Linked DNA regions of Astyanax mexicanus. The protein of the gene in region 3 interacts with the protein of the main gene of each other region in a pairwise test. Links are inferred from orthologs where the notes say so. Each region holds a gene or a part of one and is shown on either strand. Other genes may lie near its edges.

What was found.
Region 1: the proteins of lats2 (region 3) and map3k5 come close enough for resonance energy transfer, tested with the Homo sapiens proteins (2 studies listed by BioGRID, with this or other methods). The link is inferred for Astyanax mexicanus from reciprocal best matches to the Homo sapiens genes LATS2 and MAP3K5.
Region 2: the proteins of lats2 (region 3) and ras association domain-containing protein 1 come close enough for resonance energy transfer, tested with the Homo sapiens proteins (2 studies listed by BioGRID). The link is inferred for Astyanax mexicanus from reciprocal best matches to the Homo sapiens genes LATS2 and RASSF1.

Annotation. Positions count from the first base shown.
Region 1 is NC_064408.1:49,309,803-49,317,775, forward strand, and holds the start of map3k5 (mitogen-activated protein kinase kinase kinase 5), read right to left. Parts: upstream 3,064-7,973; 5' UTR 2,331-3,063; coding exon 1,955-2,330; intron 1-1,954. Other genes in the region: lrp11 (low-density lipoprotein receptor-related protein 11), read left to right, coding at 6,851-7,505. UniProt on the Homo sapiens protein: Serine/threonine kinase which acts as an essential component of the MAP kinase signal transduction pathway. Plays an important role in the cascades of cellular responses evoked by changes in the environment.
Region 2 is NC_064412.1:14,811,473-14,819,049, forward strand, and holds the start of ras association domain-containing protein 1, read right to left. Parts: upstream 3,068-7,577; 5' UTR 1,628-3,067; coding exon 1,309-1,627; intron 1-1,308. Other genes in the region: zmynd10 (zinc finger MYND domain-containing protein 10), read right to left, coding at 4,687-4,786, 6,124-6,249, 6,327-6,448, 7,131-7,256. UniProt on the Homo sapiens protein: Potential tumor suppressor. Required for death receptor-dependent apoptosis. Mediates activation of STK3/MST2 and STK4/MST1 during Fas-induced apoptosis by preventing their dephosphorylation.
Region 3 is NC_064418.1:25,406,731-25,414,538, reverse strand, and holds the start of lats2 (serine/threonine-protein kinase LATS2), read left to right. Parts: upstream 1-4,754; 5' UTR 4,755-4,926; intron 4,927-4,967; exon of another isoform or gene 4,968-5,007; intron 5,008-7,808. UniProt on the Homo sapiens protein: Negative regulator of YAP1 in the Hippo signaling pathway that plays a pivotal role in organ size control and tumor suppression by restricting proliferation and promoting apoptosis.

The DNA.
Region 1 (7,973 bases), on a different chromosome or scaffold from region 3:
TTTCACTGCAGTCGTATGGACAGTGTTTGAGAATTACTATCCATGTCCTCAAAGTAATTTTACTTGCACTTTCAGGATTAACCACATTTGCTTAGTGTGTACTTTTATACAGAACTACCCACTTCTTGTTAGGTTTGTTTAACTTCTGATAAATGTCTTGTGTTTTGCAGGATTTTTGTTTCTGCAAGAGCAAACATATTTGAAACTGGGTGACAGAAACAACTACAGATATATTGGTGATTGAAGGTTTATGAACTGTTTGAGATTTTCTGATACTTCTGCATAAATTTGACATAAAACAAATTTTCACAAATCCTAGCACATAAGAAAAATCAACTCAAAGGCAACAAATGAAAAATTACAAAACTTGCCCATTTATTTATTAAGAAAATGGATCCAGTATTAAGCACAAACTTTCACAAACTTCCAAGCACCACCGTACCTTTGGTTTTGAATATGCCTGTAGCATTATTTTATAACAGTCAATGCATTTTTTATCCAGAGAGCTAAAAAAAAGTGTGTTAACAAAAGTACACCAAGTACACCAATTTAGGTGCACCAAACACTGTAGATAGTTGATTAAATGGCAATTTGTGTGTTAAAGTCATGGTGACCATTGGTTCCAGTCACCTCTATTGTATGTTTTGGTAAGTTACTCCACCCTGCTGAAAAATCCAGCTCAAGACCAGCATTTGCTTCTAGCTGAGGTAATGGTTAAGGTGGTTAGAAGCCTGGTCTTCCAGATATATAATTAACCTATGCTGGGAAGCTAGCTGGTCAGCCACCTTCTGACCAACACTGCGTATGCTGTTTCTGAGTTAGGTCATGGCTTGGTCATGTTGGTTTTTCTTGGCCAAGCATGGTTTTTCTGGGCATGCTGATCATAGTGGTCGACCAGTTAAGCAATGTTGGTCATGCTGGCCATCCAAACTGGTGATGCTGATTAAGTGGTGGGGCTGGTCAACCAGCTTGATGATGTTTATTATGCTGGTCAGCCCAGCTTAGGTGATGTTGGTAATGCTGTCCAACATGCTTGGTCATGATGGTTATGCTGGTCAACCAGCATGGTGATGCTGATTATGCGGTCCATCAGCATGGTCAAGATTGGTCAGAGTGGTGGTTTAGCTTGGTCAGGTTGATCATGCTTTAGTCTAGGGCTGCAACAATAAGTCGATATAATCGTCAATGTCGATTATTTAAATGCATCGACTACAAATTTAATTGTCAACTAATCGTTCATTTGTAACAGTCCTGCATTACACAAAGTGCTGGAGACAGAAGAGTAGCTCACTGAGTGGCTCACTCACACAGTTTACACTCAACTCCAAAAGTGCCCAAACACTAGAGATTACATATTTACTCACAAAATATTAGTACTTTCCACATTTAAAAAGCATCTAGACATTTAAATGTCTTTTAAAATCTCATGTTCAGCTGTTTCTATTGTTTTTAGAGATGGAGAACATGACAGAAATAATAGTTGATTAATCGACTAATCGAAAATATAATCATCACAAAGTTGACTACCAAGATAATCAACAGTTGCAGCCCCACTTTAGTCCAAACTCATCAAACTTTAACCAAAACTAGTCAAGAGCTAAGCTGAGCAACTATCCTAATCTTGAACAACATCAGCCGTTCTGTTGGCTATGTTTTTCAATTGGGTAGATTGAAGCATTTCACCCCAAATCCACCTGAATGACTACTCAATGCTGGTTGACTAGAATAACCAAGAGAAAGTGTGTTTTTTTTCCCAGATAGTGAAGGTTGTCCAATGGGAACTGCTCTAAACTCTACTACTGTTGGCTCACTGTCTAATAGACATATCTGTCTGTCACTATCTATGTTCTTTAGACTGGTGAGCCCACCTCCTCAGTTTCACTCTCAGTCTACCAGCGTGTGAATCAGCTTCACAGCGAGTCCTTAGAACTGGGATAAACAGCGCTGCACCTACCTGCGTTGTAAAAGCGGTCGAGTACGGCCGTCTCTCCGAAGTCCAGCTTCCCGAAGAGCACGATCTCGAGCGCGGTGCCCACGGCCTCGCAGGCGTCCCGCAGGCACTGCAGGGCCATGCTCTCGGCTCCCGTCTCCGAGTTCAGCACGTAAGCCACACTCGCCCGCCGGTTTTTGCACTTCCCCGGTGTAAGCAGCCCCCCGAGCCCGGCTCCGAGTCCGCTCTCCGCGGGGCATCCCGCAATGACCCCCGCCGCCGCCGCCGCCACCGCCGAGGACGCGTCCTGCCAGAAGGTGCCGGCGGCGGGCACGGCGGGGCGCGAGCAGTCCTCGCGACACGGAACCGGCAGAGAGACGCACTCCGGCTCCGGGTTCATCCTCCCCTTCTTCTTCTACGGAGGAGGAGGAAAAGAAAAGAGAAGAAAAACAGTAAAAACGCTCCTCCAGTCACTTCAGTTCCAGTTTCTTCTGCAAACGAGTTTTAGACATTCCTCCGCGCAGAATAATAAAAAATATATATAAAATAATAATAACGAAATAAATCACTGTTCTGTTCTTCACTCAGATGTTAAAAAAAAGATGAAAATCCTAGATTCATTAAAAAAAGTTGTGAATAATTAGTTAAAAATGTAAAAACACGTAGGTAAATGGTCCTGCAGCGCTAGCGCCGCTGCCCAGCCGGTTTGTTGTTGCTGTCAAGTCAGCGGCCACGCGCTCGTTCCAGCCTCGAGTCACGACGCGCGCGCGCGCTGTTTGTCCGTTCAAAAGTGAGTGCTCTCGGTGAGCCGTGGCTCCGAGAGCCCGCGCGCCTCTCCGCGCAGCACGACGACGCGGAGGAGTTGAAGTTGCCGCACGACGCGTCGGAGAGCCGCAGGAGGAGGAGAGGGAAGTCCTCGACGATCCGCGCTGCGCGAGACCATGTTCACCACAACACCAGCTCGACGGATCCGGCGCGCGAGGCTGCACGAGCTCAGCTCATCGCGCTGCGAAAACAAACACGAAAACGAGTCACACTCACACGCTGCCTGACTGCTCGCTCGCGGGCTCGTGCGGACCCTGCCCTATCACCACTGTTATCTCCTCCACATCACCAGAACTCACACACACACACACTACTCACGCGAAAACGGGGCGGGGCGTATTAGCATACCGGGAACGCCTTTTAAAGAGTCAGGCGGTCGAAAGTGAACATGGAGGAGGTGACGGGGGATTTCTGTTGGACATTACTCACGTTCTGGATAAAGGGGAATTCCACCGCCTTTTTAAAAGCGTCTCTTGTGATGAAACGGTTAAAATGTGAACTAATTCAGAGGAGGTTCTGCTGAAACGGGTCATTCTAGGAATTCTAGGAAAGTTGTACTGCTCAGAATTGTTTACACTGGTGGAATGTACTGCCTACGAAAGCTACATCGCAGAAGATTAATGCAGTAAATTGTTATAAGGCTGTGGAGTACATGTTACAATAAGACAATGTTTTAAGAGAGAGAGAGTACAGTTATGGGGTACGTGCAAGGTCAATCCATTTATTTCTGCTGTAGACTGAAATAATTGAAAAAAGTTGGTGGGTTCAGACAGAAGGTGCTATCTTCTGAACTGTGTACCAGATCCAGATGTAAATACATGAAAACAGAAGCTGAAAAGCTGATCTTTAGTCTCATATTCACATTTTAATGGCAAACCCAAATGTTTTCAGTCTACAGCAGAAACAGGGGGATCAGCCTCACTGTTCCACCAATACTTTTGAAGGGGACTGTTTATATGTTACATGATGGTAACTTTGACATGGCATACTAAATACTAAACAAACTACTGCGTGGAGAAGTTTAAAAAAAAAAATAAATAAATAAATACAGCACTGTCACATTACACATTTTGCTGTTTCAGCAAGGGTAGGCTCTTTTAACATCATGAGATTTAAAACAAATTTCTTTAACTAAACTTTCTCTACAGAAAGACGATTGTCAAGTCATAATGCTGACCTCTAGTGGCCCTCTTTTGACAATGCAAATTAACAACCCTTAGTATTTTTCAACTGCTAACCGACACTGCATGTTTTCGTGTGTTTACCCGCTTTGTAATAACATAAAGGGGCCCTCATATACTTAAGATGTGTGTGCTTGAAAAAAAATAAGTGCATGAGGATTTCAGGAAAAGGACTGGGACCCACAGGACTATAGATTCTTCGTAGGGGATGTCCTCAATGAGGACTACTGAGGACTGGGGAAACAGCATCAACAAATCACTAAATAAATACACTCCACTATCTGTAGTAGCACAATAGCTGTATACACAATAGCCCTTAAGAATGACCAGAATAAGTATCACTGCATCCTGCAGAGAAGAATTAAACTCTCTGTTGCAAATGAAGTCACAGCCACCTCTAGTGGCATGGCCTGGTTAATGCCTCTGTAGTGGGATGCCCTTACGTCACTTCAGGAAATCCAGAACCCAGTTACACAGGGAGTTGTTCAGGCCCAGCAGACTCAGTTTTCCAGCCAGATGCTGAGAGACGGTAGTGTTGAATGCTGTCAGTGAACAGTATGTGTCTTCATTTTCCAGGAGGGTGAGGACTAGGTGGGATATGGTGGACAGGATGCAATGTCTTGAACAGTTGGTAGCAATGAAACAGTAATCATTGACATATGACACTGGGGACTTCCTCATCACAGGGATGATAATGGCAATCTTAAAGCATGTATGAACTACACATTGTGAATGTTCTTGAACATAATTACCATTGCTCAAATTACCTGTTGTGACACTTTTAAGAAGTGCAGGACAATTCCTGGTTGCCACTAATTTTATCACTGAGCTGACCTAGTACTGTTGTGAAAATAAACAAAACGGTGTTTAAAGCAGCATTATGTTGCTGCTTGACCTTGTCGCTTCTTGTCTCCCCCTACAGTAAAGTGCAATTTGTGCTTTGAGCAACCACTAAAGCACACACTTTTTACATGCATTTTGCAAGAAGATCTGCAGAACCATCCCAGAAAGTGAATGGAATCACGTGGACTTTTATGCAACAATGGCTCAGGCTACACAGCATTACACAGTTGTTGTGAACATTGTCCTCTCCACTTCACCAGAGTTACATATTGCAGTGTCTTGTTAATTTTTTATGCTTAGTGATTTTTAAGCTGCTATTTTAGGATATACAATATACTAGACATTGCCTTGACATTGTTATAATAATTAAAAACTGAAAAAAGTACCTGTAAATAGAAATTATGTTTTTTTTTTTTATTATATATTCATGAATAAATATTCAAGCGCTACTTGTTCACAAAATGTCTCAATCCTGCTCATATCATTTAATTTGTATAAATGACTCTAAACTGTATTAAAGCAATAAAATAAATAAACACCAACTGCGTGATTTGAGGTCACATCAGCTCTTAAAAAATCTGTATACTTTAAATGTTTAACAGTGAGAATGAGCTGACAACAAATTACTTTGTTTTTTACTATTAAAGAGTTAATTTTATTGTGATGGCAAATACAGTCCCCTCCAAATGTATTAGAAGAGCGAGGCCAATCCATGTATCTCTGCTGTACACTGCAAACATTTGAGTTTTTTTTTATTATACTTCTTAAAAAAAGAAAAAGATCAACATTTCAGCTTTTATTTACAGTTGTTTACATTTGGCACTGATACACAGTTTACACAATAGACCTTTTGAACCCACAAAATTTTCTTGTAAGTCAAAGTATTGGAATGTGTGACAGGTGTCAGTTGTATTTCTTGATCTGGTGTGTCCTGATACATTGATTATTTACAAAATAAATAGCAATAAATGTCTACACTCAGTTTCAGATTTGGGTTTTGTCTGTAAAGACTGTGCATTTATAGTTAGAGGAGTAACAACATGTCCCTGAGTAAAACAAGCAACTGTAATGCTAAGAGCAGATGGAAAATACATTAGAGCCATTATACAAATATTGTTTATAGTCTGTACTACAGTTTGCAATGCCCTAAACAAAAAAAGTTGTCACTGGTGTATTAAGTAACAGATGTCGAACAGGTAGACTAAGGAAATCCACAGCAGTTGATGACAGAAACAATATGGGCATATTGCATGACAGATTCATTAATCTTCATCGATGTAGAAACATGTCTGTCAATTTAAAGAAAGGTGCAACCAAATTAATTAGGAGATGCTTCACCATGCAGCAAGATAATGGCCAACAATTGGTGAACACCTAATTGTTTACTTGTTATCTCACCTATAAGAGAACCCTATAGAGCACCAAAATTATTTTTTAAATTATTTTTTAAATTATTTTTTCTACTGGGAAGGGCACTGTTTGGAACACAGTCTTCTGACTGCAGTGTATGAGGCACTTCATAACAGCCATCCCTACTATTTGAAGGACAGAAGTCCAAACAACCCTGGGGGGGCGTACGTAAAGGGGTGGGAAAAAAATAAGACCACCATCGAAGTGCACAACAAAGGATGGGCTTCGCATCTGGCATGACGTCAACGTGCACTTTTGTGTGTGTGTGTGGGGGGGGGGGGGGTGTTGTTGTTGTAGGGCTCGGCCTCCTTCAGGTACCGCGAGACAAAACGGGACGTCACGTCAGGATTTCATCTACCTCCCTCTCTCTCTTTTTTTCGCTCGCTCATTCGGACTCCCAATTTCAGTGCGCATGCGCTTGCTCGCCTCACTCTAGCATCCTCCGTCCCCCGAGGACCAGAGGCGAGCTCGAGCACCTGCTGAACTGAGCGAGCGAGCCAGTGAGTGTGAGTGGGAGAGAGATAGATAGATAGGGGGATAAATAGAGAGAGATAAGGGCATAAGAGGAGAGTGAAAAAGAGAGGGAATATGGGCTGGTACGCGCGGAGACGATGCTGATGGTAATGAGAAGGACAGCGAGCGTTCTTTCCCCGACAGCACCATGAGGCTAAACATCGTCACGCGCGTCCTCGCGCCGCTGCTCTGCTGTGTGCTCTCCGCGCTTCCGGTGAGCTCGAGCGCCTCGCGCGCCGTCTCCTCGCCGCTGTCGGACCTCAAGAGCAAGATCAGCGGTGTGGAGGAGCTGCTGGAGGAGTTCCGCCAGCAGCTGCAGCACGAGGAGCAGCCTTACGAGCACGAGCAGGAGGATGAGCAGGATGAGGATGATGAGGGGGAGGTAGGGGAGGATGAAGAGCGGGAGCACGGGCCCGTGGCGGCAGCCTGCCTCAGCCGCTTCGACTCGGCCGAGTCGCACATCATCCGCGCGGCCGTGTCCATCGAGCGCGGCGCCACCTTCCTGTCCGCTCCGAGCGACGCGCGCGACCCCGCCGACTGCCTGCGCGCGTGCTGCGCCGAGCCGCGCTGCACCGTGGCCGTGGTGGTGCGCGAGGAGCGCGCGGCCCCGCGCGACGGGCCCCGCTGTTACCTCTTCAACTGCACCTATCGAGGCGCGAGCGTGTGCGCGTACTCGCCGCAGCGCGGCTTCACCGCCTACAGCCGCAACGGCACCACCGCGACCACCGCGCTGCGGAGACCCGCGGAGGAGCAGCAGCAGCAGGAGGAAGAGGACGGAGGAGGAGGAGAGGCCTGGATGAGAGGTAATCACTGTTCTGTATGTTCATCGTGTAGTCATTTTCATTTATGAGAGACTAATCAGCTAAAACTGCCTCTGTTTATTCTCAACTCTCGCCTTAACCCCTTTTATCAGAACAGAACAGATGTTTCTGTGCCTTTATTACTGAAGTAACTGTAGAATTAAACCCTGTTCAGACTGGCCTCCCTCTATTGTGCCATACTCAATAAGCAGTCCAGGTTAAAACACTTTTTATAACGGCAGTCTGAATGGGTGGAGCCAAACTGTTCTACATTGTAAATAAAGCCCATCTTAAAACAACTGTTTTTGTAAAGTCATGTTTAAAATAGGGTTCATTCCCACAGATAAATTGTGCTGACTGTGGAATGTTTACATTCTACACCAATATTGAGGACAATACAAATAAAACAGGTTGATTGAAATATGCCCTTTAATATTTTTAACATTATAACATTAATCTGTAACATTATAA
Region 2 (7,577 bases), on a different chromosome or scaffold from region 3:
AGCCTTTAAGCTCTGTCATTTATTTTCCTTAACATCTGTAATTTTATAGTCAGTGAGTTGCTCTTCATATAGCTAAGCTTTTGTGTTCTAATCTGCTAATGTGAGACTTATTTTTATGGTCTGCGACCAGGAAAATAAACCTCTGATAGGTCAGTCTGATTTTAACACATCCAACAAAGCAGAGTATCAAACAGTGTTGAAGTCTTTCATTTTAGGGCGCCATAAATAGGTATTTGTTCCTGTCCATAAAACAAATCGGACTTAAAAGGGCGTTAACACAGGCAGATGCCAGCATTTATTTTTAGCTGTCTTTTATCCAAACTCCCTCAAATGACCAATCAACCTGGACCTACAGACTCATCAGAAGGGAAAGCACAAGTTTATTTTTTATAAAATAAATGAAATATACAGATCTATTATCAAAATAACAGGGTTGTAAAATGACATTCACATTTTTGTGCCAACCTATTTATGTGTCAAATAACTATCCTACTGTTATCAGCATGTTCTAATGTTTTGTGTTTGGTGCCAAAAAATAGTTTAGAGCAAACTCCAGAAGATTATGTTATGTATGGTAGAGTGAGAGGATTAACTAGTTGTAGTTGTAACAACTCATTAACTGTTCTGCGTGTTTCTTACAGACTCCTTTTACTGATCATTTCTTTTTTGTTGAATAACTACAACTTATACTCAATAAAATAATACAACAAAGAAAGATGCCACGCTTTTCATCCAGTGATGAATTTGGTTAACAAATAAGGAAGTTCAGATAATACTACTACAATACAATCACTCATCAGATATAAATCTTACTGAGAGGTTGTGGGAATGTGTTGGGAAATGTGTAGAGAAGAAAAACCCAACCACTAACAGGGGTGTGTGACAAGCCATTCATTTTGTAAGAGAAAAGAAAAGAAGAGAAACTGAGAGACAATCCTATCTTGAAAAATATATTTATACAAGTTTTTTCTCTCTTCTGTAAAAGTTGCTGTTTTAGAGACTGCTGGATAGCGACTATATACCGAGAACATTCATGGATTATGTGGATCATATACCTTACTTTTCATTACTTTTAAGCTTGTCGATGCATGGATGTAAATCTACATCACAGACTGCACTATACAAAACTTCCTTAAACATTTAGCTTGTTATTAAGTTGTTAATCCTAAACTGTGTTCATGTATTAACTATGTAACTACTTGATAGATTTGGTAACTACAATATTATGTTTGAGGGCTTCAGACTGAGGGGTTAAAGAATAAACTATTTCATTCAATTCACAGGAAGCACAATGAAGGTGATACTCACTTGTACAGCGAAGGCTTTGTCTGTACAACCCCCAGATGAAGTCTCCACACAGGTCACACCACGTGGGTTGAGTATGGCTGCAGGGCTGAAAGTTATGGCCTTCTCCTGTATCATCCACAAGTCTTGGGTCATCCATAGAGTCCCCCAGTAGTCTGATGATCCTGACCCGGTTTATCAGCTCAGGAACTTTCCCTGGGCTTATCCTCAATGCATTGACCCTCTCCAAACGAGTAGTCCGAGATGGTGCAGAAGCAGTAAGTTCAATGCGGCCCTCCAGCATGGTGAGCTCTTTAAGCTCAATCATCTCACCAAAAGACATGCTTTCCAGTGATCAACGGCTGTCTTGTCCAGTATGTCCACTCAACTGTAGCTGACTCTTGCCTTGACTCATTTGAAATAAGCCATTTTTTTCAGACATTGGGCATCATGATGTGTAGTTAAGAGGTAATGACTTTTGGTTTGATGACTTCAAAAAATGCGGGGTTTTATTGGCTTTCATTGTTCTTTTCCACTGCAGTCAGTGCAGTTTAAACTTAGTCTGTCAGGTTATGTATGATGACCTTGAATGATGTCTGACATTTAGATTAAAGGTCTTTTTAACTTTAAGAAATCATCACAGTATATAGTTTGTTAAGGCTTTGAAATGTAGAATCAACACCAGCCTGACAAGTGGTTTTAGGGTTAGGTAGCTCTTTGAATCATTTCTGTGGTGAAAAACATGAGCAAATGAGATCTGCTGATGTTTCAGGAAAGGCCTGTGGTTTAGGTCAAATAATAATAATACTTAAGAGCCATACGATTAAGAGACAGGCTAAAGATTGTTTGGCAAATTTTAGATTAAGAAGAAGAAGGATGAAGTACAAATACAATACAAGTGTCAGAATTAAGGGTATTGTACAGGTAACGGCTAAATATGCTGTCTTTCAAAGAACACATACAATGAAAAAATGTCAAATAAACTTTCCAACAAGGGTCTTTGAGGACCAGTTGAGTGGTTGAAAAGAGATTTAAAGGTAAGCTACAATACATTCACTTTCCCACTGGAAAGATAAGTTATCCTACATAACCTACCTAGTTAACTATAGTTTAAAAACTAGTTTTAAAAGAATATATAGAATGTATCACATATATCTCCTAAATAAAGGTAGATTTCTAAACAGACTTTGGTTGACACCCTAGTTATAAAAATACAGTATAGTACATTTTGTACTTCTACTTTTAAAAAACGTTAGGTTTAAAACTATGTCTGAGATAAAATGTTAACCTAGCACTTTTAAAGCAAAACTTTGGTGGTCTCCTACCGCATGGCTGAGAGGACTGGTGAAGTTTTAAAAAGACAATTCCGCTGAGAGAAAAGGCTGCTGCTTGTCTTCAGCTCAGACACCGAGCTGAGAGCTCACCCGCGGGTATGAAGAGCAGACAGCACCACGGTAAGCTCCAGGAATCGCCTTCACATGAACGAGGGTTTGAGCAGCTTCAAATCCAGCGCTTCGTCTCCATTTTTCTGCTTATAGCGAAACGCAGAGAAAGATAACGTCCACGGCTCACGAAATGTTGGCGTCATTTCTTCGGATATGTCTCAAAGCAGCGACGAAATAACCCCTTTCCTTCCTGCTGGTAAAAGAGAAGAGTGGTAAGTTTCTTCTTCTCTCTTATTTTGGGTTTTGAGTGGATCCAGCCAGCGAGCTAAAGACTCTGTAACTACATCTGCAGAATCACACTGTATCACTCCAGCCCACAGCCTGCTCTCCAGCCATGCCCTCTGTGGGTGTGAGTGTGTGTATGCTGTGCCTGTGTGTGTGCGCGTGTGGGATTAGCATGTTTGAATAAAAAAATCAAACTTTCTTTAAATTTAAAAGGAAAGTAAATTTTCCATGATTTGGTCTTTTTATAAACACTTACAAAATCCCCAAATATATTTTTTCCATTGTTTTGGAAATAGCTGTCTCATTAGTTTGAGATGCCAAGTCATTATTTTGAGATACTCATATCTTATTGTTCTGAGGTACTACGTCATTATTCTGGGATACTATCTGAGATTCAGAGATACTGTCTACTACTACTATTGTTTTAAGATTACATCATATTTTTTGAGATACCCTCACCTTGTTTTAAGATTCATTATTTTGAGATGCCATCACATTGTTTTAAGACACAAAGTCATTTTGAGATAATATCTCATTGTTCTAAGATACTAATTCATTGTTTTGAGATGCCATCATATTGTTTTGAGAAAAGTCATTATTTTAAGATAATGTTGGCTAAGCCATAATTTAGAGATACCATCACATTTTTTGAGATATCCTCACATTGTTTTGAGACACCAAGTCATTATTTTGGGATAATGTCTCATTGTTCTAATATACTAATTAGTTATTTTGAGATGCCATCACATTGTTTTGAGAGTCATTTTTATTATTGTTTTAAGATGCTAAGTCAATATTATCAGATATATATCTCATTGTTTTGAAACACCCTCACATGGTCTTAAGACACGAAGTCATGAGATACCCTCAAATTGTTTTGATATACTAAGTTATTATGAGATATTATCTTATTGTTTGGAGATACCATTTCATTGTTCTGAGAAACTAAGTCATTGTTTCGAAACACTTTTTCATAGTTTTGTGATAAACCATTACTGTGAAATAGTCGAAATAATGAGACAGTATTCCAAAAATGATGTGGCACTTTAAAAGAATGCGACAGCAATTCTCCCATTAATGGGAAAATGTGTACAGGATTAAAAACATCATATATTTTAGAGTGCTAGGAATGGACTTCAATTTACTTTAAACTAATTTGTCACTGTGTAATTATATGGATCAAACAAGCCATCAAAACACACACACAGAAACTGTACAAAAACATTCAAGGTTGTTCAATTCACTGGAGATTTATTAAAGTGTTTATTAACATATGGCACCAACATATAGCTATCATATATCTTATGCATGTATTAGCCAAAAGTCAGGGTTTCAATGTTGAGAAACAAACAGTAGCCTATATTGTGTACCAGAAGTTGTACCACCCAACAAACAAAAGGGAAGTACAGGGAAATGAGAGTGAAGGATAAAGCATCTGCATTGTTCATACATATACCTTTGGTCATGGGGAAGCAGTGTGCAGAATGTTCTAACACTTATGAGAACTATAAAAGTTTTTTTTTTTTACATTTTCAGGGAAAAACATGCACATGCTCTGCTCACTTGAGCAGAGGAAAACTCCTTCTCTTCCTCAGTTCCCATTATGACCACCATAACCATAGCAACACATTCTACAAAGGTCAGTGTGATAATGGAGTTTAGTCATTTGTCTGTCTGCTCTTCTCTGTGATTCTGCATCTGAAGTCTCTGCCTCTTTCCATTTTCGGTCTGCTCAGGTCTTGATGTTCAGCTCCTTCTGTAGTTTCTCTGTGGCCTCTGCCATCAGCTGGCAGGCAAGTTTGTGCTTGGGCCAGTGCTTCACCTGACACTCTCTACAAGGAAACATATGTATTATTTAGAACAATGTAGCTGGTATCTAATCAAAGTCTGAAAGAGTTGTGGCTGTGTCTAGTGCACTTTAGTTGTCTGGTGATCTTATCTCTATCCTCAGCTTCTGTGGCATACGGTCAGTAAGAATCATTTCCCCAGAACTATAAAAAGCCAGAAAACACACTGACTCACAACAGAAACCTGTGGGGAGTTGCTGAATTTCATTAGTGAATGTTTCTGAAAGACACATACTTTTGTAGAACTCAAAACTGAATTAAAGCTGTAAATAGTGCATAATGCGAATTTTTTGGTTTCAAATATAGAACAAGTTTTCAGGAAGAAAGAACTATGTGTGTGTAGTAGGGGTGTGCTATATCGTATCAGACGCAACAATATCGCCAACATTTTTGAATATCGTTAACAATATTATACCCTGAAATATCGTGCCATATCACCCACCCCTAATTATCACACCAGGGTACTACTTTTTTGCTGTTTTTAGCAAAAAAATAATTTACACTCTTCTCGTTTCCCATTATATATCTACTAGAGACATATCATATCTCTCCAATATCATTTATTTTACGTTAATCCTGGATATATGGAGATATTTGGAGTTCATTATTAGTATCATGACATTCTGGATCATTGACTTCTGTTACAAATCTGATACAATTGTTGTATTTTTAATACCTCAGTTAGGGGTGTGTCATATCGTATTGTATGAAATAATAAAATACAAATTTCCTTTTGTTGCAGTAGTGTATTCTTTAAATAATTTTTGTAATTTAGTGTTTTGTCAAATCACCAAGAGTATCGATATGGCGAAAATACCGTGAAATATCGTGATATTATTTTAGGGCCATATCACTCACCCCTAGTGTGTAGAGCTGCATGTACATTAGAACGTCAAACTAGATCCATAATCCATAATCCACTATTTTTTGTTTTTGTAGTCGTATAATGAAAAATGCCCAAATTAAATGCAAATTTACAACCAAAAGTATTAGTGTTCATAAGATAGCATGAAACACCACTGCATGCACACTGTCAGCAACCTCACAGCTGTTCCAATAATGCCAGTGTTATCAGTAGCCATGAGGTATATAATACAAATATAAGCACTGACTTACTGATCACAAGGCTCAAAAAATGCCATTTTTGAGTCCTTGTACAAGGCCATTAACCCTCTCCGTTTCTGGGGGCACTGTAGCATGGCTAGTCCTACCATTCTGAAAGGTAGCCATGGTCTGAATTTTACATCCAAAACATCCAATTTAATACAGATTCCTTAGTTTCAGGGTTGAGATATATTTGCTGTTAGGTAAATGTAGGATACCTGTTACAGTACCACTCCCCCTGGCAGCGGGAGCAGCGTTTGATCCCCTCCGCACCACAAGTTCCGCACTTTGGCTTATCCGGTATAAGACTCTCCATCAGATCAAGATTATACATCTCAGCCAACCTGGGGAGCAGGCACACACAGCTCATCATACTGAACTAATCACACATTGCATGCACATTTCTAAATTTAAAACTCACCTGTTTGCCTGTTGTCTCAGCTCACTCTCGGATGGGTTGAACACTTTCTGCACCTGATGCTTTGCTATAGCCTTCCACTTGCCAGAATTCTCAGCAACAATTTCATTCCAAATTTCTGGAAGCTAAAACAGTATTTAGTCAGAAATGGTTTATTAATTAAATCAGTATATTTGATTTAGATTCTAATGGCGTATGATCTGCATTTATCTATTTAAAAACGTAAACCCTTTACAGTTTTCTGTATGCCTACATAATTGACCTGTAATTGGATAACAAAAAAAAACATAAACTTTACAATCTTCACCACAGAACTTTGTGGAATGGCTCAAACAAAGGAGAAAAAGGAAGGAAGAAAGGATAAAAAGTTAAGAATTAAGAATGCCCAAGCAACCCACTTATACGAGAAAGATTATGTGCAAATGGAGGTAACTTAACACAACGGTTATAGTCCAAGGGCAAGGACACTGAACACTGCTGCACATCTGAAGTGAAGAACTGGATACTACATGGATGGCAACAGAAAACAAAAACAGACAACAGAAAAATCCTAGAAAACAGAAAAATCTTAAACAGAAAACTTTTGTTTAAATGGAAAGCGAACCATATCCCAACTGTTGTGCATGGAGATGGCATTATCAGGCTGCTTTTCTGCCCTGGGTCCAAAGGCTCAATTAATTATAGACAAGATCCAAGATCTACATTTGAATTTAAGTGTAATACAGAAAATACAAAAAAACTGTAATGGGTTCACAACCTCTCTAGCAATACAGTGATAAAGAAAGTGTGTGTGTAGCAGCAGTGTACCTGCTCGAGGATGAGTTCTTTTTTTGGTGGTGCCGGGTCTGTAACAGCTAGATGACTGAGGAAACGTTGAAGATCAGAAAGATTGGGCAGCTGATCGATAACAACCTCCGTCAAAAATCCACACAGCTACAGACATGAACACAAAAGACAACAGACACAGATCAACAAATGCCCATTATGGCAAAAAATAACAATATAATTAATGTAACTTGGGTTGTACGGAAATATTGAGGTATCAAAAGGAATGTTTTGACATACAGTATAGATTGTTTATGAATGGTTCATTTCATTTTGTGTTTAAACCCAGACTGCGAGATGGTAGTGTAGAAATTTCTTCAGATCCCACTGTTCAGATTGGATAAAAAGAGAACTCAGCTTTTGTGCATATGATTGTGTTCCTTTATAATATATATTTGATTTAGAAAATCACTATATATCTGTACCATG
Region 3 (7,808 bases):
TTTCTAAATCAATCTCTTCATCCAGTGTACAGGCCTAAATCCACCTCTAGTACAAGATTCTTGATCTGACTGCAGTCAATGCTTAAATCTTGATTAATGCATTCAGCACTGAGAATAACTCAAAGAAATGTAATTCTAAAGCGAACTTCCTGAGTATTACAGACGCATGACTGGCACTCAAGTAAAGCTGCAAAGAAAACAGAAAGCAGTTTCAGATTAATAGCCAATGCAAGCGAAAAAAAAATCTTCAAGATATTACTGATAAATATCAAAACAGAGGTTGAACCGACAGACACTCGCACACGGGGGGACTATATCAGCATCTCTAATTCACCTGACGGCATTGGTTTGGACTGTGGTAATGGGACAGCGCTGTATTGCTGTTTAATAAATACATAAATAAATTTTAAGCAAAAAAAGTTGAATTATTCAATTCATATTAGCACTGTGGGTGGGAGTGGCAGAAATGTGTATGTGCGGGCAGGCAGGCACATGATTAAATCAAGTGTCTTTTGGTAGGTGCAAGATTAAAACAAGCAATTTTTGGGCAGGTGCAGGATTAAGCGATTTTTGGTTAGTGTAGGATCAAAAAAAGTGTTTTTTGGCGGGTGCAGGATTGAAACAATCGATTTTTGGCGGGTGCGGGTTTAAACAAGTGATTTTTGGCGGAGCAGGATTAAAACAAACAATTTTTGGAGGGTGGGGGGTTAAAACAAACGATTTTTGTGGGCACAGGATTAAAAGAAACAATTTTTGGTGAGTGTAGGATTAAAACAAGCGATTTTTGGTGGGTCTGGGATTAAAAGAAACAATTTTTGTTGCCCGTGGCATTAAAATCAGTAATTTTGGCAGGTGAGGGATTAAAACAATCAGAGAAGCAGACATTCGGGATTAAAACAATCGGGAGCGGGTTTAAAAAAGCAGTCCTGTGCAGACCTCTAACATAAGGTAACACCTTATGATCAATTTACACACTGCTATCCCACGAGTAGGCCTATGTTGTGAAATGTCAGTATTTTTATGCAAGAACAAGATAATGTTTACTGTGGCATGCAAATGTCAGAGCACCTTGTGATCCGAGATGCAAGGTTGCAAGAAAAAGTAAGTAAAGCCTTTGTGATTACATGGATTTCTGCAAAAATTGGTCATTAAATGTGTTCTGATCTTTATCTAAGTCACAACAATAGACAAACACAGTCTGCTTAAACTAATACCACACACAAAAATTATGTTTGCATGGTTTTATTGAACACAACACGTTAACAATCACAGTGAGGGGGGAAAAGCTATGTGAACCCCTAGGCTAATGACTTTTCTAAGATCTAATTGTAGTCAGGATGTGATGAGATTGGATGTGCTGGTTAAAGATGCCCTGCCCCATAAAAACACACCAGTTTTGAGTTCTTTTAAGAAGTTATTATTAGAAGCTTTGCTTGATGTGCAGGGGCGTAGCAGCAAATTCTGGGCCCTGTACACCCTCTATGTTAATGGGCCCCTATCCATGCCAGTAAACAAAGGAAAGTGAGCGAAAAAAAAATCAGGATTTTCATGGGCCCCTCTCCCTACTCGGGCCCTGGGTAGTCAGGTCCACTTTTCCCCCCACTACCACGCCCATGTTGATGTGAATCATGCCTCGCACAAAAGAGCTCTTAGGAGACCTACATTCAAGAATTGTTGACTTGCATGAAGCTGGAAAGGGTTACAAAAGTATCTCTAAAAGCCTTGATGTTCATGTGTCCACGGTAAGACAGACGATCCACAAATAAAGAAATTTCAGCACTGTTGCTACTCTCCCTAGGCGTGGTCTTCCTGCACAGATAACTGCAAGAGCACAGTGCAGAATGATCAATAAGGTGAGGAAGAATCCTAGAGTGTCAGCTGAAGACTTACAGAAATCTCTGGCACATGCTAACATTTTTTGTTGACAAATTTACAATAAGGAAAACATTAAACAAGAATGGAGTTCATGAGAGGACACCACAGAGGAAGCCACTGCTGTTCAAAAAACATTGCTGCACGTTTGAAGTTTGCAAAAGAGCACCTGGATGTTCCACAGCACAACTGGCAAAATATACTGAGGATAGATAAAACCAAAATTGAGTTGTTTGGACGGAACACAAAACGCTATGTATGGATAAAAATGGCACAGCACACACTCATCAAAACCTCATCCCAACTGTGAAACATGGTGGAGGGTGCATCTTGGTTTAGGGCTGCTTTGCTGCCTCAGGGCCTGGAGGGATTGCCGTCATCAACGGAAAAATGAATTCCCCAGTTTACCAAGACATTTTGCAGGAAAACCTAAGACCATCTGGACGCCAACTGAAGCTCAACAGAGGATGAATGATGCAACAGGACAGCGACCCAAAACATAGAAGTAAATCAACAACCGAATAGCTTCAACAGAAGAAAATACGCCTTCTGGAGAGTTCCGACCTCAACCCAATTGAGATGCTGTGGCATGACCACAAGAGAGTGATTCACACCAGATATACCAAGAATATTGCTGAACTGAAACAGTTTTGTGAAGAGGAATCATCCAAAATTCCTCCTGACAGAAAATGTTTGGTTGAGGTTATTGCTGCCAAAGGTGGGTCAGCCAGTTATTAAATCCAAAGGTTCACATACTGTTTCCACCCTGCACTGTGAATTTTAACATGTTGTGTTCAATAAATCGATGCAAATATGTAATTTTTGGTGTGGTATTAGTTTAAGCAGACTGTGTTTGTCTATTGTTGTGACTTAGATGAAGATCAGAACACATTTATTTGACCAATTTATGCAGAAATCCAAGTAATCCCAAAGGATTTACATACCTTTTCTTGCAACTGTATAACAAAGTACTTCACAACTGTAATTAAGTACTAAAATGCTGTATCTGCTGTATCTATTATTATTTTTCTCCGACTTCCACTTTTACTTCAATACATGTTTTCCATGAGTTTTATACTTTTAGTCTGATACATTTTGCACTACATCCTTATTCGGTACCAGGAGGATCGCCAGTACTTTTTAGGGCTCAGGAACCGCAAAAATAATCTTCATTGTCTCATGCGCATGCACAAAACAACACTATTTATTCTGTATTGTCCCACTCTTGATAGGTTCTATGTGTGCCTGCGCATACATGTGTGTGCCCATGAGTCAGTCATGGATATGGGTTGTTTTGTTTAAAATAAAGGGCCATATTCAAATTCATGTAAAAGAATAAAATAAAAAAGGAAAAAATATATATTTCATTGCTCAGTGTGAACAGATGCCCTGAAAATTCCATACTGCTCTGCACTGTCACCGGGTTTGCTGAAGCTGCTCATCATTGGGTGAATTAAGTGACCAAGTTGATCTTATAAGAAGACCTTGCTGCTCACATTCTGCCTTTTGCTCTACTGCCTTCCTGCACTGACAACATTGGAGCTTTGTTAGTTTGTTTTGAGATGGAAGAACCAGAAACATCACCTTCAACTTGGAGTAATGGTGGTGGTGAGGGTGAGGAAGGAGACCCCTTGCCCTATTTATGCTTTAAAGGTGGAGGGATATAGTTGATCTTATTTATTTTTTTTTTTTTACAAATATATAAGCTCTGTGTTTTAAGGTGCTCTAATCTCTTTGCCTTTGACAGGTTTAATTTAGATTTTACAATAGTGATAGACTAGTGACCTTTTATGCTAAATTTGTTAAAATACCTCAACAGTAGCATTTCTTTTGGGTAAGGATGAAAAAAAAAACACTTTTCCTACTGGGTGTTCGGGAGATAACACAAGATAATGCAAGAATATCATATATATGACCTCCAAAAAATATATCATTGAAAAGTTACTCGATTTTAGTAATTTAGTTTAAAATGTAAAAGTCCTATATTAAACATGGTTTACTCTGTGTGTAATACCGAAATAAAATAATTTTAAAATGATATTCTTCTGATTCTAATAAATGTTATTATTGACATTTAAGACCATTTAAATGCCACTGACATAATGGTTACCATGTTAAAGACTTTTTTAATCATATATTGGGAAATTAATACTTTTCTCTTTACTTACTGCAGTCCACACAGCAAGTCGCAATTACTGAAGCATTGGTCATTGCACAACTGGCTAAAATACTGTTCACTATTATAAATATTATCAAACATACAAATAAACGCAATAGATAAAATCACGATTATCAAATATTACTGATGTCACGTCCATTTATTGTGTTATAAGTCAATAATGTATTTTTTTTTCACAAATAATAAAAAACATCTGTACTGATGGCAAACGCGTTTCCATGGCAACATGTTGATTTCCATGTTATACAATAATTTTCTTATTGAAAGAGCGAGTCGGTAAATCTGCGCAGGAGTTAGTTGTTAATAGTTAAGACACGATATAAAGTTACGGGTGTTTGGTGCAGCCGGATTTAGTAAAAAGGAGGTTTGAAACTAACCAGTGCAGTTAACTAAGAACTTAGTAGAGACTTTACACACACACTTTTAAAGGAACTGAAGCTGAAATGGTGCAGCCCTGGTCAGGTTTGTGATCTGTGCTGGGTCTCAGGCCCGGGCGGCAGTAGCAGCAGCAGCAGCGGCAGCACAGTCCACCCCGGCCCGGCCTGGCTTTTCCACAGCGGCGCGGCGGCGGCGGCGGCGGCGGCGGGGTCGCTGAGCGGGGTGTTGTAAATGGAGGAAGCCCCGCCTAGACTATGTGCAGTGCTGACGTGCGTCGGTGCCTCACGTGACTCCTAAGGAATGTTAACAATGCAGTAAGTGTCCAACTTTGTGCTGCATTTCTAAATCTGCCGAGAGGAGCAAGAAAATGGAGGACGAGCTCAGCATATTTAAACTCTGCTTTTTATAAAAACGAGTCCGACCAGCGAAAACCCGAGAAACCGATGTTTAAATCCCCAGCTTTCCTCTGTACACGGGATTTACAGTTCTATCAGTTGGTGAGTAGACCCGCAGCTTTATCACTTTTCGGGCTCTGGGGAAGGGAAGCGCGTGAGGACGAGCCGCTGGAGCTGCTGGAGGTTTGTTTCTCCGTCGTGGTTTGTGTAGAATTGTGGTTAAAGTTGTGTTTGGTTGGTGAGAGGAGCCGCAGCAGCAGCAGCAGCAGGCTGGAGTTTCTCCCTCAGCTGGAGGAGGAATGTCGAGCTGCTTCAGCGGGTCTGCGTTCCTCTCGCTCCATTCGGCCAGAGAGCTCCAACTCCTCCAGGCTCTGGGAAAAGGCCTTTAACTGACTCTCTACAGAACTTACACACCACTAAAACTCTTATAACACCGAGGAAACAGTGAATAGTAACACCAACTGTGATTTAACTGTGATATAATTAAAAAAAAAAGCTCAACAATTCACTGCCTTTTTGAGTAAGTTGTGATTTTGGACTTCTCTCATTTTAAATCCTAATAATAGTCTCATTTTATTGTGTTCTCAGTAACATTGTGTTTTCTAGTGTATTTAAGCATGTTAGATTAAAAACATATTAAAATGGGAATGTATTTGTATTGACAATACGTGCTTCCTGTGCTCTTTAAATATTTTTATTCAAGTGGGTTTAATGTTACAATTAAGATGAGCCTTAGTTAAAGACTAGAAAGTGTTAGGAATAAGCTTAATATAATTAATAATACCATATTTTTAAACAGGTAGTATCACTTTGCTTATACAGTAGCTATAATACTACTCGTACTATTATTTAATTATATATTTTTTAATTACATTAATAATCATAAAAATAATTAAAATCTTTATTATTATAAATACACTAAAAGTATTACTGTTGTTGTTATTATTATTGTTGTTGTTGTTATTTTTATTATTCTAGTGTTTTCTGTGAATGAAGTCCTCATTTCTGTGAATGGATGGTCTCAGGTGTGCTGCCTAATAAAGTGATCACACATACATACACATACCAGTAATATTAAATAGTGCACTATAGTAAATGTACACTAGCTAACTTATATAAGCTATGTATGCCCAGATGATTATGGACACTACAGTACTCAACTACAGTACTTTAGTTAGGTTGCACCCACTGCTGTCACAGATGTGCAAATGCACACACAGGGATTACACAGACTGTGTAGTCCCTGTAGAAAAGTATTTCCAATTAAATGGAATAAACCTGATCCTGTTGATACCATGCCTAACCATGTATTGATCTGTAGAGCAGTGAAACTGTGTTCTCTGAAATGATGCTGCTCCATTCAGCACTTTTGGGAAGACTTGAGAGGGGGGGGGGGGTGTGAGTTGGGTATGGGGTGAGTTGAGGTGGGATGGTGATCATTCAACATCCTGTCCTCACTATTGCTCCTCTTTTGTTGCTGAACGAAATCAGAACCTCACAGCAGTGCTTCAAAATCTAGTGGAAGCTCTTATCAGCACAGAAGACACAGTTACTCCAACAAAAGCAGGATAAATTCTTGTTCCCAACACTTTTGTCCATATAGTGTGTACGTTTCCTCGTTGTTTAACATGCACCAGAAATTGCATTTTATAATTGTATTCTGCATTTTAGTTACAAGTTATTAGTAACTTATTTCAGTAGCTCAGTCAGTGAATAATAACTCTTCTCTAAAGCTCTACCCACCATTCTGCACATCGCACCTCCAACCCACATCAAACACACCTCATTCAGCTAATCAGGGACATCTGAAGGCTGTAATTACTGTATATGGATCAGGTGAGACTGAGTGTGGTCTGATTTGAAATCTGCAGGAAGGTGGATCGTATGTAGCAGGTTTGGCTTAACCAATTTGGCTGATATGTCTTTTACAGTATGTACATCATAGGCTAGACATATCATACAATGTATGGACATGACATCTATCATTTTTGCTGACCCCAGTACTGGCCACGGGGTTTACATCACGAGAAGAATCTATTAATGTGAATGACTTTGTGGCATGTTTTATAATAATCAAAAGTTAATTTCTATTTAAAAGGTATATAAAATGGCACGATTATGCTATTACTGTATATTGTCATTATATAAAAATATATAGTGGTATAAATCTTTGACATATATATCTTGGACAATAATTGTCCAAAAAATATTATTATGACAGGCCTAAAGCATTTATAGTGGTGTAATTTGTTAATGCTGGCTGTATGTCGTGTTTCAGATATTTGTTTTCCATATTATTTTAGGTTCAGTATGAATGCGTAATGTTTATTTAATTTCTCACAGTGAGTTTTGTGGGTTTGGGTGTTGACTGATGTTTGACACTGTGAATAGTAGCTGTTGTGGACAGTGAGTGTAGAGTGCCCAGAGAAATGGATATTACAGTGTAGAGATGTGTGTTAAGCCAGGTACACCACATGTGACAGTACAGATTAGGTCATGTTTTCAATCTTTGTGTTGTGGAAAATTTTTACTGAATCGTGTTGAATATATTTTGTACTCTGAACATTCTGGCTTGTTTTGAATTAATTCCATTATGTTACACAGAGCTTATCTTATCAAATAGCTTACCTGGTTCTGTGTTGTTCAGCTTTGTGTCCATTGAATGTGTTCTGAAAAGAACCTGTGGGAACTCCTCAACTGTTTTGTTGCTTTAAGTTTGTGCTGGGGACCTGAGGTGGTGATGATGGTGATGATGAAAGCCTGCTGAAGGCTGAGCTGTGACGTCTTGGGACTGGTATGTGTATCTGTGACATTCATTCGGCAACTTTTAATAGGAGGCAGTGACCCAATGTCTATAGTAGTACACCTGATACTGAACAACTGTGATGTTTGTTTTTATAGTGTGTTGTTTGTTCTGTTTTGTGCAAGTTTTGTGCAATATACTCAGGACCCAGTGGTTAAAATGTTTGTCATATGCTGTGTTA